Linked DNA regions of Elephas maximus indicus. The protein of the gene in region 2 purifies or fractionates together with the protein of the main gene of each other region. This does not show direct contact. Links are inferred from orthologs where the notes say so. Each region holds a gene or a part of one and is shown on either strand. Other genes may lie near its edges.

Region 1 (7,690 bases), on a different chromosome or scaffold from region 2:
GTCCCTGAATAGCCAAAAGAATATTTAAAAAGAACATGTTACCGGATTCACACCTCCTGCTTTCAAAACTTACCATAAAACTACAGTAATCAAAACAGTGCAAAGCTGCCGTAATGATAGACATAGATCAACGGGGCAGACAAAAGTTTGGCAGTTTAAACCTATCAGCCACTCCGCAGTAGAAAGATGTGACAGTCTGCTTCCGTGAAGATTACAGCCTTAAAACCCTATGGGGCAGTTCTACTCTGTCCTATAGGGTCACTCTGAGTCGGAATAGACTCGATGGCAACGGGTTTGATTTTTGGTTTTATGTAGTCCTCCATACTATCAGAAACAGAATCTTCCAATTTACTTCTTAACCACTATCATCAGACTTCCACAACTTCAAATTCCATGGAAACCGTTCTTCCAAAGCCCCTGATGAGCAGGAGGCAACTGCCAAATTCCATGGATACCATTTCAATTAGGATACGTGTTCAACCACAAGCAATAAAATACCTGACTAAAAGTGGCTTACCATATTTTTATGCAAATAATACGCACCTTCTACATTTGTTCGCCAACCACACCCTCCCCCCACCAAGGTATTTTCATAAGTGCAGCTATGTTAATTCTTTTTACATGTTGCTGTAAAAAAACGAACATAATGTGCTTATGAAAATACCTTGTGGGGGGAGGGCACAGTTGGCAAACAAACATAGAAAACCTGCGTTATTTGCGTGGAAATGTGGTACACCATAACCAAAAACAAATCAGTTGCTGCCAAGTCAATTGCAACTCACGGCAACCCCATGAGTGTCAGCATAGAACTGTGCTGCATAGGGTTTTCATGGCTGTAACCTTTTGGAACCAGATCCCCAGGCCTTTCTTTTGAGGCACATCTGGGTGGGTTTGAACCCCCAGCCTTTCAGTTAGTAGTCAAGCACTTAACCATTTGCACCACCCAGGGACTCCAAGGCTTAAACCATAAAGACACATTTTTTTTCTAAGAAGTTCTAGGGTCAGTTAGGTAACTCAGTTCCATCAAGGACCTATGTTTCTTCTGCAAGCTGGCATCCTCAGTACACCAATGATGTTTTTCACCTCATATCACATGATGGTTGCCTCCCATGACCACATCAAAGTAGGAAAAAGGTGGCAATTAAGAAAAGAACCTTTTTCTCATAGGCCTCTCTCTTTCCAGAGGCTCCAAGCAGACAATCCTTTCACTCTTCTTGCAAGAACTGTGGCATGCCCACCCCCGAAACAATCCCTGGTATAGTAGAATAGAGCCACCTCTGGGGCTGAAAACATTGCTGTTGGAACAATTATGGGGTTCTGTTAGCAAGGAATATGAGTTATTGAAATTCTTAAGACCTCTGTCCTGAGGTGCATGTTGTCCAGGGGAGGCAACAAAAACACAAACAGATATACAGGGATGGATTACCCAATAAACAAGGTAAGCACACGATTAATTGTGCTTACTTACTAACCTGTTTATGCATGCCATTTCACTCCTTTTTTTTTTTTTTTTTTGATGACTGAACACTAACGATCAAAGACCAGATGAGTTGTGAAATGACATCAAGGACATCATCACAAGTTATGGATAACACTGCAAAGAATGGGCATTCCAGAACACTTAATTGTGCTCATGAAGAACCTGTACTTAAACCAAGAGGCAGTCATTCAAACAGAACAAGGGGATATTGAGTGGTTTAAAGTCAAGAAATGTGTGTGTCAGGGTTGTATCCTTTCACCGTACTTATTCAATCCGTACGCTGAGCAAATAATCTGAGAAGCCAAACTACATGAAAAAGAATGTGGCATCAGGATTGGAGGAAGACTCATTAACAACCTGCGTTATGCAGATGACACAACCTTGCTTGCTGAAAATGACGAAGACCTGAAGCACTTACTGATGAAGATCAAAGACTACAGCCTTCAGTATGGATTACACCTCAACATCGAAAACAAAAATCCTCAAAACTTGACAAATAAGCAACATCATGATGAACAGATAAAATTGTTTAGAACTTCATTTTACTTGGATTCACAGTCAACACCCATGGAGGCAGCAGTCAAGAAATCAAACAATGCATTGCATTGGGCAAATCTGCTGCAAAAGACTTCTTTAAAGTGTTAAAAAACAAAGATGTCACTTTAATAACTAAGGTATGCCTGACCCAAGCCATGGTACTTTTAGTCACCTCCTATGCATGTGAATACTAGACAATGAATAAGGAAGACCAAAGAAGAATTGATGCCTTTGAATTACGGTGTTGGTGAAGAATATTGAATATACCATGAACTGCCAAAGGAACAAACAAATCTGTCTTGGAGGAAGTACAGCCGGAATGCTCCTTAGAAGCAAGGATGGCAAGACTTCACCCTACATACTTTGGACATGTTATCAGGAGGGACCATTTCCTGGAGAAGGACATCATGCTTGGTAAAGTGGAGGGTCAGCATAAGAGAGGAAGACCCTCGATGAGGTGGATTGACACAGTGGCTACAATAGTGAGCTGGAGTATAGCAAGGATTGTGAGGATGGCACAGGACCTGGCAGTGTTTCGTTCTGTTATACATATGGTAGGTACCTATGGGTTGGAACTGACTCGACGGCACCTAACACTAATAACGCTAATCTGTACTGCACAATTTCAGTGGGTGTACTACAGACTAGTAAGTAAGCACAACTAAGCCTATGCATACCTTGCCTACTGGGTGATCAGTCCCTGGGTGAAACCCATGTGAAATTGTGCACTGCAGATTAGTTAAGTGAACACAACTAAGCCCGTGCGTACTTTGTTTACTGCACTTACTGGTTAATCTGCCCTGCTGAGATATAGCAATTGCAAATTTCACAGCCACACAAACTCAGGTGTGCAAAAATGGAAATCGTCTTTGTCTATACCCAAACCCAATTTCTACCCTAAGACCCCATTCTGTCTCACATAGAAAACTAATCTGTCATATCCATGTAAACTCAGTCATGGGTACTAATTAGTACTCAAGCACTAATCAACTATGTCTGCTACAGACACCTTCTCTGCCCTTATTGTCGAAGACTGTAGAAAGCCAATCTGATTTGGAACAGGGCTTTTCACTGCTGCCCATCTGCTCCCAAAGCACCTTCCTCCTTTGATCAAACAGGCCTTGAAGCTGCAAAATGACAGTAAATCTCACTACCTCTCTCTAAGGAAAGTGGGTCCATGCAATTTGCTTGTTTGTTGATTCAAGTGAGCATCAGGGCTTAGTATCAACCCTAGGGAGGAGGAGGGTAATGAGGGGAAGATCTTTCATTTGACTTTTTAAAATCTGAGGCACAGAAGAATGTCCCAGGTGACTGAGTTTAGATGAAAGCAACTAGATTAAGTTTCCTATATTGGGCAGAGGAAACCCTGGTGGTGTAGTGGTTCAGTGCTACAGCTGCTAACCAAAGGGTTGGCAGTTCAAATCGACCAGGTGCTCCTTAGAAACCCTATGGGGCAGTTCTACTCTGTCCTATAGGGTCGCTATGAGTTTGGAATCGACTTGATGGCAATGGGTTTGGTTTGGTTTTGGTATACTGGAAGAACAGGGTGGGGAGGGAGGGCTAGGGAAGTGAAGTTCAAGTGCGGAAAAACAGAGGATTTACATTTTTGCATACCCAAGACTGTGTGACTTTGATATTTGCATCTGCTACGTTTGTTTGTGTGTTTTCGGCTGCCTCTAAGAGGCAGCAGGTACCTCAAGGCCAGAAATCTTGTCTTCTGCATTTCTGTAATACCTCGTCCCTCCCTGTCTCTTCCTTCTTGGTGCCTAGCACAAGACCTGGGACGTAGTAGCTACTACTCCACAAAAGTGTCTGTTCATTTTTCATTATTTTGGTGGATGAATAAATGCGCAAAGGAGGTTACACAATGGGAGGAAGCAAGGCCAACAGATTTTTAAACTGTATCCTGATTTAGGAGAAAAACATAGAAATGCGTGCAGAGGTACACGCACACACGAAGAGGAAGAGAGAGATCTCTGCAGACAGAGCAAAGCTACCTTCCCTTAAGTAAGGAGACAGCCTAATCAGAGAGCCAGAGGGGCCCCACCTGACTGCTGCTGCAGCTGGGGGAAAAAAGGGGGGGCGGGACTAGAAGGTTCAGCTGGAGCAGTCTCCCCTTCTCTTGCCGTTCCCCACCTCCACCCGGCTGCCCTGTGAGCCTGAAAGCTGTGGGGAGGGGAGGCAGCCAAGCTTTCCAGAACGAGGCAGGATGGTGTGAGCTCAAACGCCCAGCAATTGCTGGAGCAACGGTGGCGACACTTGAGTTATTCACAAAGGCTGGGATTCAAATGAGGCTGGCGTTGCTCCAAGTCGCAGTAGCTTAGGAGGAGAAAGGCGGATTAAGTATTCATCAAGATTTTAGCGTCGCATGGGCTCCGAGGGGTCTCCGTCTGCATCTTTCACTCGATCGTGGATTTTTGGGGAGGAGGGGGCTCCCCCAGAAGCACTTTGTCCGTCAGTCCGGGAGCCGGCGGTGGGGGTGGGAGCTGGAGTTAGGCCGATTTTTTTCTCGTCACATGATGGGGGACCTGTATCATGTGATGACTCCGGTGATGTTGGAGGCAGCATGTGACTCCCAGGGCTACGTGGGCTCAAAAACAATTTAAATACAAAAACATAAGCAGGTTCCCCTCCTCTCCTTTGCCTTTTGGTCTGGCTCTCCCTACCTTCGGGTTGGTGCCTGACTAGATGGAAATCCCGTCGCCTGGCAGCCACTAACCTGTGAACGCCGGGTACCTGGGAAGCAGGCCCCACTGCGGGGGCTCCAGGAGCCCGGCCCCGTCCTTGGCCGCCCACTGACTCCCAGCCTGGTAAGTTACTGAGCACTTTGAGCAATTACGTGTGGAGCTGACCTCGACCGCCTCATTAGCATGCTCAGGGCGCCCTTGTTGGGCACGTTGGGAGCCAAGTGCCGGCTCAGGGGAGCTGCAGCTCTCCGGCCTGGCGAGCAGACGCAGCTGTCCTGGGGGCACAGCTGTGCTGGCTACGCTGGGTGGAGGGAGCTTCGCCTCCCCTCCCCAGCCAGTCTCTCCTCCATCCTCTGTCCCCTCAGTGTCCCTTCTCAGAGTCTCTCTCCTCTCAGCCTCTCTTACCTCTCTCCTCCCTCTCCACTCTCCTCTTGTTTTTTAGTCTCCCGTGCTTTCTGTCTGTGGATACCTATAGCTTATGATCTTCCTGTCCAGAGCCTGAAAGATCAGCTTCTAAGGACTTGGTGGTTGGAAATGTACTAATTGTCCCTTCTAGGGAGCCCTGGTGGCTCAGTGGTTAAGGGCTCGGCTGCTAACCAAAAGGTCAGCAATTTGAACCTAGCAGGCACTCCTTGGAAACCCTATGGGGCAGTTCTACTCTGTCCTGTAGGGTCGCTGTGGGTCAGAATTGATTCAATGGTGATTGGCACGGGTCCCTTCTACGTTTTGGTTTTTCCACTAAGACCACGTAGATTGCCCAGTTCCTGATATGTCTGTGGTGAGGGTGATTGATATATTTCTTGGGGTCATCACAACTGTTCCTTAGCTGGATGTCTGTTGGCCTGAGGTCCCAGCTCCACTGGGGCACCAGTGAGTGAAGGGGGGGCAGTGACAGCAGTTGGGAAATGGTGCTTCCTGACCCCCCACTCCCCTATGTCTGACTTTGTGTGGGAGAAAGTCAAAACCCAGTGCTCAGTGGTTAGGGCTCACTCAGGTGTCATGGGGCATCTTGCAGAGCTGGCTCAGAGTTTGAGGCCACACCTCTGCAGAATAAGGCAGAGCGTTGGCTGGAAAACTGGCCATGGGAAAGCTGAATGTAAATGGAGTCACAGTAGTGTCTATAGCCACCAAGGAAGGAGAGACTGGTGATATCAGAAGCTGCTGGTTGACCATTATGTTGGCATGCTGACATCTATTCGGCAGGAAATAGGTAACAATTATTGAGCAAAATCTGCCCAACAACACAATGAATAGGTGCTATTATTGTACCCTTTTTAGAGGTGGGGAAACTGAGACACAGAGACATTATGTCACTTGCTTAAGGTCACTCAGCTAGTAAATGGCAGAGCTAGGATTTGAACCCAGAGAGTTTTTCTCCAGAGCCTGCACAGTTAACCACTGTGGTAAACTGCCTCACAAGATAGCTATCCAACAGTTACTAAGTAACAGGTACTGTGCAAGGTTTGGGGTCATATTTGTAAATAAATCAGAGACACCCCCACTCCCATGGAGTTTGCAATTTTAGCGAAGGTAGCTATTAAACAAATCATCACACAAGATGATATGTTATTTCAAGTTGGGGTACTTTCTATGACAGGAAATAATAAGGTATTATGAGAATATAGGAGCACTGGTGGCGTAGTGGTTAAGAGCTACAGCTGCTAACAAAAAGGTCGAGAGTTCGAATCCACTAGGTGCTCCTTGGAAACCCTATGAGGCAGTTCTACTCTGTCCTGTAGGATCGCTATGAGTCAGATCGACTCGACGGCAACGGGTTTTTTTTTTTTTTTAATAAGGATATAAGAAGCCCTGATGGTGCAGTGGTTAAGTGCTCGGCTACTAACCAAAAGGTCGGTGGTTTGAACCCACCAGCCACACTGCGGGAGACAGATGTGGCAATCTGCTTCTGTAAAGATTACAGCCTTAGAAACTCTATGAGGCCATTCTACTCTGTCTTAGTGTCGCTATGAGTTGGAATCCAGTCGATGGCAATGGGTTTTTGCTTTAAATATATGACTTGGAATCAATTTGATGGCAGTGTTTTTGTTTTTGTTTTAAATGGGTGGGTGAATATGTAACAGGGTACATACATTAGTGAGGAAGGAGGAAGCATTGGTCAAAACAGGCCTCTGATCATGTAATTTAAGTTGGGACCTGAGATAGAAGCAGGAGCCAACCAGATGAAGAGTCAGGAAGAGCATTCCAGACAGAGGGACTAGCATGTGTGAAGTCCTTGAGGTGAGAAGGGGCCAGGGCCACTTGAGGAGGAGCAAGAATCCTCGTGTCTGAGCACGGAGCGTGAGTGGGACCACACTAGGAGAGGAAACTATCCAGATATGCGGGGGCCCTGAAGGCCATCGTAAGTGATTTTTATTTCATCTCACCATCAGTGAGCAACCATTTAAATACTTTAAGTGGGAAAGCTGCATGATTTGGTTTGCTATGGAAAGACCACTTCCTCAAGTGGTGTATCTGTTAGTTTTGCTGTATGACAGACCACTCCAAAACTTAGTGGTTTAAAACAACGATCATTTATAGCTCATTGTTCTGCGACTTGGCAATTTCAGCTGGAATCATCTGGGCAGTACATCTGTTCTTGCCTGGGTTCACTCATGTGGCTAGTCAGTTAGCAGGTTGGCTGGGGGCTGGTTGATCTTAGATGGCCTCATTCACTTGTCTGCTGATAAGCAGGGGCATTGAAATGATGTGTCTCCATGTGTTTCCATATCTAGCAGGCTAGCGTAGCCTTCTGCTCATATATGACAGCTGAGATCCAAAGGCACCTGAGAGGGGAAGCCCCAATGCCCAAGCACTTTTCAAGCATCTACTTGCATCATGTTTGCTAGTGCCCCATTGATCTAAACGAGTTAAATTAGCAAGCCCAGATTTAAGGGATAGGAATATATACCTCTCCATGAGAGGAGCTACAAAATATTATGTTCATTTTTTTTCCAGCCCACTGCATGAATTCAGAAGGAATGCCATC
Region 2 (7,820 bases):
ACTCTTAGTTCAGCTGTAATTAAACATAAAAAACAGAGTTTCATTAGAAGTTCACTAAGAATTCATAGGCACAGACACTGAACTACTGGTTACTATTATTATTCAAAAACGAACAACGCCAGATATTTTGGCTAAATCAAAATTCAGACAGTACTAAATCAGTGAATAGTAGAGAACACCCTTAAAAATCACTTAAATTTTATTTCATGCAAAAGGGAAGAACAGACAAATATTAATATTTAGTGAGCAACATTTCCAAAAAAGTTACACAGTATATGTATTTGAAGTCCTTTAACGTAAATAAGTTTTCTATGTGCCCACACGATTAGGATTTAAAACATCCTGTCATGATTCCTGAGAACCTCCACACAAAACAAAAACTTATAACAGAAAGAGCCAAGATCCAATATTGACCAATAGACTATTAAAGCACATTTATATCTAAAAGTTTTTAAACCAAAATATATAACATATCTGTCAAATTCTTGATATAAAACTTAGTTGCACATTTTTTCCTAACTATGCTTTCAATTTCATGTGCAGCGTAACGATTATATTTAAATCTCTGGGAAAATGAAAATTTTGTTTTTTGCTAACGACAATCCTGAACTAAGCTATAAAGCTTATCTTAATTATTATAGTCCTGTCATGTATAAACCCCATTAAGATGTCCAAGCATATATATAGTTTTGATACATCTAACTATACCTGCCCATATGTGAAGACAGTTAAATGAGTAAGTATTTCAGCAATGGCACACACACACACACAAAACTTATCTACAGCTCAAGAATTCGTAAGAACATTTACCCAGTTGTACTTCGGCTAGTTGTAATAGCTGGCTAAGGCATTGTGAATTCAGAAGTATTTACTCTAAATTGTTGCCCATATATTTGGGCATAATTTCACATGAAAAACCCAAAGGTGAGGGGCGGAGAGAAACAGAAAATAATTTTTTTTTATATATCTTTAAAAGTTTTGGTATGATTATTATGATTAATAACTAAATGTTTAACTTTCATGTTTTGTTTTCCAGCTTTACAACAAGATTAACCAACCAGTTAACCAACTGCTGCCAAGTCAACTCCAACTCATGGTGATCCCATGTGTGTCAGAGTAGAACTGTGCTCCACAGGGTTTTCAATGGTTGATTTTATGAAATAGTTCACCAGGCTTTCTAACAAGATGCCTCTGAGTGGTCTCAAACCTCCAACCTTTCAATTAGCAGCCATTAACCATCTGTATCACCCAGGGGCTTCTATGAGAGAAAATTATGTAAAATAGCCCCAAATCATTGCACCTTTTATACAGTAAGAACAAAGAGCATGGTAGAAATTTCAAAACCAGGGCAGCTTCTGAAATACATGAATTAATAATAAAAGTGTCTCAAAGCTCTTCACAATCTAGGCAAACTTTCCATTTTTAAAAGGATGTGGAAGCTGATTTTAGAAAATTCCATGTAATAAAACTTGTAATAAACCTCCTCTCCATTTCACTCCCCCAATTTCTGAGTGCTTTTTGCATCTAATTGACAATTATACTCCTTATCAACAAAATTCTTTATATCATATTGAGGTACCTCTCAAACTGGCAAAAGAAAATGTGAAATTCAGAGACTCATAATACCATTTGTAACAAGATGTCCCCCCCCCAAAATTTTTTTTTCTTAAATTAGTTTATAAATTTGTGACCATCGGGATGAGGCATACATCCAAATTTAACATACCAAGCATCATCATTTGATGAACAAACGGTTATGTAACAGCTATTCTATGTCCCTCAAGTAATTACTTTAGAACCACACCATGTTTTTTGTTTTTTTTTTCTTTAAAAGAACTGCCCACATCGCAATTTTTTTCAAGACTGCTGTTTTCCCCAGGAGAGAAAGCAGTTTTCCTAAATTCCAAATTCCCAGGAAAATGAAAACTGCTTCTCTAGGGTACAGAGAATGGAAAAATATATATATTTTCAGTAATTTTAAGATCCACCTCCTCACATAAGCAGTGATCCAGGCTGATATGACATCTCCAAGCTACTCAGAACTATACACCACGCTGCCACAAGCATTAACAGATAACTAGGGGATGGAAGAAATGCCATCTTAAATTTGACGTTGCACCTAATACCTACTTCAAACATTTTTCCTCCGTTATCTCAATGTATCTTCACAACTACCTCAAGAGATAGGTAAGGGAGGTGGCTCGCCACCCAGAGACTGAACGGGACACACAACCCAGTTAGAGGACACGGACACCGTTACTTCTTCAACTATAAAAACAAAACCGATGGCAAACCGTTCCTGACTCGAGAACGAGTATTCCACAAAAAATGAGTAATATCGCCTAAACAACAATGAACTTAAATCTTTTAAGCACAGTTTCCCCTCCAGGCAGTTTAGCTAACTCAGTGGCCGCCGGAGAACTGCGGCGCGGATGCGGAGAGGCCGGGCGTGGGGGCGGGAAGAGGGACGACGCCCGGAGGGTGCCCACCTCGCGCACCTGGGCCGGGGTGGAAGGAGCGACGATGCTCGGCTCCGGGGACAACAGCTGGGTGACACCCCCACCGACCGTGCCCGGCCCAGACTCACCTGCGGAGCCGATTTCCATTCATGGAGCTGGGGGGAGTGCTCCGAGTGAGAAAAGCGCCCACCACTGGGGGCAAGGAGGCGGCGCGGGGGGCGACGCGGCGCGACAGACACCCTCACTCGGCCCCGGGACGGGGGCGGCGACTGCGCCTCCTCAGCAATTGCACTCCGAAAGCTCGCGTTAGGAAGAGCCGCCGTCGGGAAACCACACAGGACTAAACCAGAGGAAGGAGAGGTATGAGGCGAAAAAGGGGAGCCCGGTCCGGAACTTGCGTCGCCCTTGACTGCTTACGCTCCCACTGCTCCTCCACGACTGCCGTGCCACCGACCTCCCCCGGGGGACGCCCCCGGAAGCCCGCTGGCGTCAGTTCCGCTGCCCCGGCTCGCCCGACGTCGAAGCTTCGCCTCTCCGCCCCAAGCCGTGCGAGAGCGACGTCGGTGCGGGCGCGGCCGGCGCGGAGGACGCAGAGGAGGCGTCCGGGAGCGGGCGCGGAGCCTGGGCGGAGCCTCGGCCCGGGAGGAGAGCGGGGCGGGGCCGGCCCATCAGCGGTTCTCCGCTGGTCGTGCCGGCCGGAGACAACCCCGAGGGACGGGGCTCTTCGCGCGACCTTGCTGGGGGCGGGGCCTGCCAGAGGCGACGTCGCGGATGGCGGCGGAGCTTACCTGGGGAGGAGCCTACCTGAAAGCTAGGCCTGTCCAAGTAAAGGATCCGGACCTGCAGCTGAGACTGAGGCCCCCCCGGTTGAGCACGTTTGGTCCGTCCCTCCCCGCCCCCTAGTTTGGGCTGCCTCAAGTGCCTCCCCCTCAACAAGAGGTCAAGTGACCCGCACAATTGATTATCTCCCAAATCGGTAGGGTTGCTTTAACGACTTTTGGAAAAAGGTGATTAAGGAACAGGACATTACACAAACATCGGATCGAATAATTTCCACGTTTAAAACTCCTTAATACCGCCTTGACACTGAGAAAATCCAAACTCCTTTCCAGGGCCAAAACGCACTCCGTTAAGGGGCCCCTGCCTTTCTCTCCAAGTAAGGCTCTCCCTGATCATTTTACTACAGCTACACTGTTCAGCTTCTGATTCCCTTAACCGGCAAAGCATTTTGCTTTTCCGTCTAGGAGCCTGCTTTTGGTGCACTTGGCCAGGAACCTTCTCCTCCTTTCTCGCTTCCTTTCCAGTCAGCCCTCCTGCCCCCTCCTCCCCACCCTCAATTTAAGGCATTTTAGAGAGGCCTTCTCGGACCACTCAGCTATGTTAGGACGCTCCCTGTTATTCTATCTCAACACTTTCTTGGTAGCCCTTATTTCAATCTAATTATTTCACTAGTTTGTGTGGCCCCTTCCCACTACAGTGCAAGCCTCATAAGGAAACCAGAGCCAGCACACTGGCAAATATTTGTTGCCTGAATGAAACATGATACCATTTTATTTAGGCTGATTCATGGTTTTTTCCTACATCCCTAAATATCAAAAGATTTAGACTTTTTTTTTTTTTAATCAAAATACATTTTCTCAAAGCTTGAGAAGATGAAGGAGAAAAAATATCTTCAGTTCCCTCCACTCAACTGTGGGACTTTGAATCAGTCACTTGATGTTTTTGGGCTTCAGTTTCCTCATCTGAAAAAATGGAAAGAATATGTACCTTACACAGTTGTTGTGAGGTTTGGGAATATACATAAAGCACAGAGAAAACCCTCCCTAAATGTTAGTGGATACCCATAATATTTACTATAGTTATGATTTCTAAGCACTTATCAGATGTACCTACCATACGGTAAACAATAAGGGGATGGGATTCAAACCCACATCTGTCTGACTCCAATTGTGCTTCACTTTCTTCTTCCTTCCCACCTCTACCTCTGTGAAAGATAATGCCCTACCCAAATTTGAAAATTTCAAATCTGTCACCAGATGAAACTGTATCTGAAAAGTTTTTGAATCCTTGACTGTACACAACCCAAGTTGTGGTAGCAGCATCTGTCAGGGTAAATACCAACTCCTGTGTAAGGGTCTATCATACCCTCTATCCCCCATTCTGGATCTAGTTCTCTGATTCCAGGCCTTTTCATCCTCTAGAGGAGACATGGTGATAAAACGTGGAGGTGGCCACTATCTTCTTTTCTGACACTGATGGAGGGTTTGGATTTAATAAATATTTATGATGCCTTCCCATCTACTTCTGCTATCCAGAAACTCCTCCTCTTTAGACTAAGCCAACGTTAAAAGCTTATGAATAGTAATATTGGGAAGTGGGAAGGCAAAGAGGTTTGAATGATTCTATCAAAGGCAAAGCTGAATTAGGCACTCCCTTTAAGTAGCCCCCCACACACAATTTTTGGATAACCTCATTCTCAACTGAGCTGCTCATAAGGGTAGAATCTTTGTGTATCTGGCTCACTACCATAGCCCCAGTTCCTAGAACTGGGTCAGTGCCTGGCAAACAGCAGGATCAGTAAATATTTGCTGGATGGATAGATGGATAAATAAATAAATGTGCTACAAGTACGGGGCTCTGGAAGCAGGCTAGAACTCTGCCTTTATGCCTTGTGTATAAAGAAATATTAAAAAAAAAAAAAAAAAAAAACCACGTTGCTGTCGAGTCAATTCTGACTCATAGCAATGCTATAGGACAGGGTAGAACTGCCCCACAGGGTTTCCAAGGAGCGCCTGGTCGACTCAAATTGCCAACCTTTTGGTTAGCACCCATGGCATTTAACCACTACGCCACCAGGGTTTCCACAGAAATCTTAGGAGCATGGAAATCAGTGCCCTCTGAAAGTTGTGCTGCCTCAGCAGCCACCAAAACACCCAATGCAAAATTTCTTAAAATATGATTAAGAAAACACAAACTAGGAAAAAAAAAAAAAAGGCAACAAATCTGACTGAAATTAATAGACTGCACAGCAAAACTTAAAACTTCTGCTCTTTAAAATGAAATGAAAAGGCAAGCCACAGATTGGGAGAAAATATTTGCAAAATATATATCCAAAAAAGGACTTGTATCTAGAATTTACAAAGAACCCTTACAACTCAGTAATAAGACAACTCAATTTAAAAATGAGCAAAAAATATGAACCCTTTACTAAAGAAGATACCTGGATAGCACATGAAAAGTTGATCTCTATCATTGCTCATTAGGAAAAAGCAAAATGAGCTATAAAACACCCAGTATACTCAGGAAAGAAAAGATGGCCAGCAGCCTGCTTTAACTGTTGGTACGAACCCAAGCCCAGCAAATCAGGCTAAGGGACTCACAGTGCCTGGTCTTCTTCCTTGCTACCAGTAATATTTCCCTTCACTTAGGACTTTTGTATTCCTAGCTTCCTGTGTTAGACAAGAATCATCATTACTGGATGAGGAGAGCAAATGGATAGAGTCCTTTCCTCTCACATGGGCTGGGGTACACCCAACTTGGCACCTGAGTTCAAATCTCATCACCTGAACCAGCACCTTCTATAAGGCAAAAAGAAAGCTACTTTGTACTTTTCCCCAAGTGCAGCACGACACAATATAAAACATAGGGACTTTAGGCGTAGACAGAACTGAGACTGAAGGTCCTCTGCTACTAGATGGAATTTTGGGAAAGTCACTGATCCTCTCTGAGACTCATGTTCTTTATTTGTAAAAATCAGAGCACCTACCTAGAACAGACACTGCTGGATGCATGCCAAACAGCCCTTACCCCCTTATTTCTTGCCAGTACACTAGACTTTCTAGTCCATATGACCCAGGGGGAAACTCCTGGTTAATTTAAGTCACTGATAATGGTCTTTGCCAATGACAGGAATGGGCAGATGACCAATTTCTAACAAATGAGACATAAGGTCAAATCTGCTGGGGCTTCTTGAGAAAGGTTTCCCTGCTTTTAAATGGGACAGTGGGGAAAATTAGTGCCTCTTCGGCTAAACATTGTCTAGAATTACGGCAGCCATCTAGGGATGAGTTGAACTAGCATGAGGATAAGCCAACACAGAGAATAGCGAGCAAAACAACTGCAAGAACCTGATTCCTTGATGTTATAATTGAATCAATTAACCAATATGGTAGCCATCTTAAATCAGGACTTCTTAAACAAAATGAGTTTCCTTACTTAAACCAGTTAAATTGAGATTTTGTTATATGCAATTTAAGGCAAAGTAACCAATAAACTATGCATGACAATGCAGTTAAATAAGACAAAAAACTGTACAAAACACTTAGGTACTTCAGGTACCCAAACTCCTCTTTTCCAGTCCATTCCCATTAACAGTCAGTAGCCCTTTTCCAAAAACCTGGCTGGGAGCCTCACTGCCTCTTTTAACAGAAAACTTCCTTGTCTTTGGAAGGTGGGGGGAGAGGGACTGCAGGCTTCCCAGAAAGGTCCCTCTATATTACTTTGTCTTCCCAAAACATTGCCAAGTGGATGGTGAAGCTGCTGCAGTCCAAAACAAGAGCAGGACAGTGTGTTAATGCAGCATAAGCTACAGTAGCCTAAAAGACTTTGATGTGGTCTCTTAGTTATCTAGTGCTGCTGTAACAGAAATATCACAAGTGGATGGCTTTAATGAACAGAAATTTATTTTCTCACAGTTTAGATGGCTAGAAGTCCGAATTCAGAGCACCGGCTCTAGGGAAAGTCCTTCTCTCTCTGTTGGCTCTGGAGGAAGGTCCTTGTCTCTTTAGCTTCTGCTTCTTGGTTCTTTGGAGACTTCCATGTGTCTTGGCATCTATCTTACCCCATCTCTGCTCTTTTATATCTCAAAAGAGATTGACTCATTAATCCTTCCTCATTAACATAGCCAAAATAATCCATTCACAAATAGGATTATAACCACAGGCACAGAGGTTAGGATTTACAACACATATTTTGGGAGGACATAATTTAACCCATAACACTCCATCGTTTGGCCCCCCAAAATTCATGTCCTTGCCACAGAACAAATTTACCCCATCACATCATCCCAAAAGTCTTAAATCAACTCCAAGTTCAAAACCTCATCTTCTGAATCATCTAAATCTAATATGGGTAAGACTTTAGGCATATTCCATCCTGGGGCAAAATTCTTCATCATCTCTGGATCTGTGAACTCTTAATGGCAGCCCTATACTCTGAAATCAAGTTGGCAAAGATCAACTCTGAAACCAAGGAGGTTGTGGCCCCACCCTTTGAGATCCAGGAAACCATGGCCCTACCCTTTAAAATTGAGAAGGCCCTGCTTCCCATGCTCCTTCCAACAGTTCTGCTGATCTCTGAGTT

The links.
Region 1: the proteins of AGO3 (region 2) and TNRC6A purify together in Homo sapiens (affinity purification with mass spectrometry; 7 studies listed by BioGRID and IntAct, with this or other methods). This does not show direct contact. The link is inferred for Elephas maximus indicus from reciprocal best matches to the Homo sapiens genes AGO3 and TNRC6A.

What each region holds. Positions count from the first base shown.
Region 1 is NC_064830.1:84,785,250-84,792,939, forward strand, and holds the start of TNRC6A (trinucleotide repeat-containing gene 6A protein), read left to right. Parts: upstream 1-4,439; 5' UTR 4,440-4,827; intron 4,828-7,690.
Region 2 is NC_064821.1:77,286,646-77,294,465, reverse strand, and holds the start of AGO3 (protein argonaute-3), read right to left. Parts: upstream 3,174-7,820; 5' UTR 2,607-3,173; coding exon 2,588-2,606; intron 1-2,587.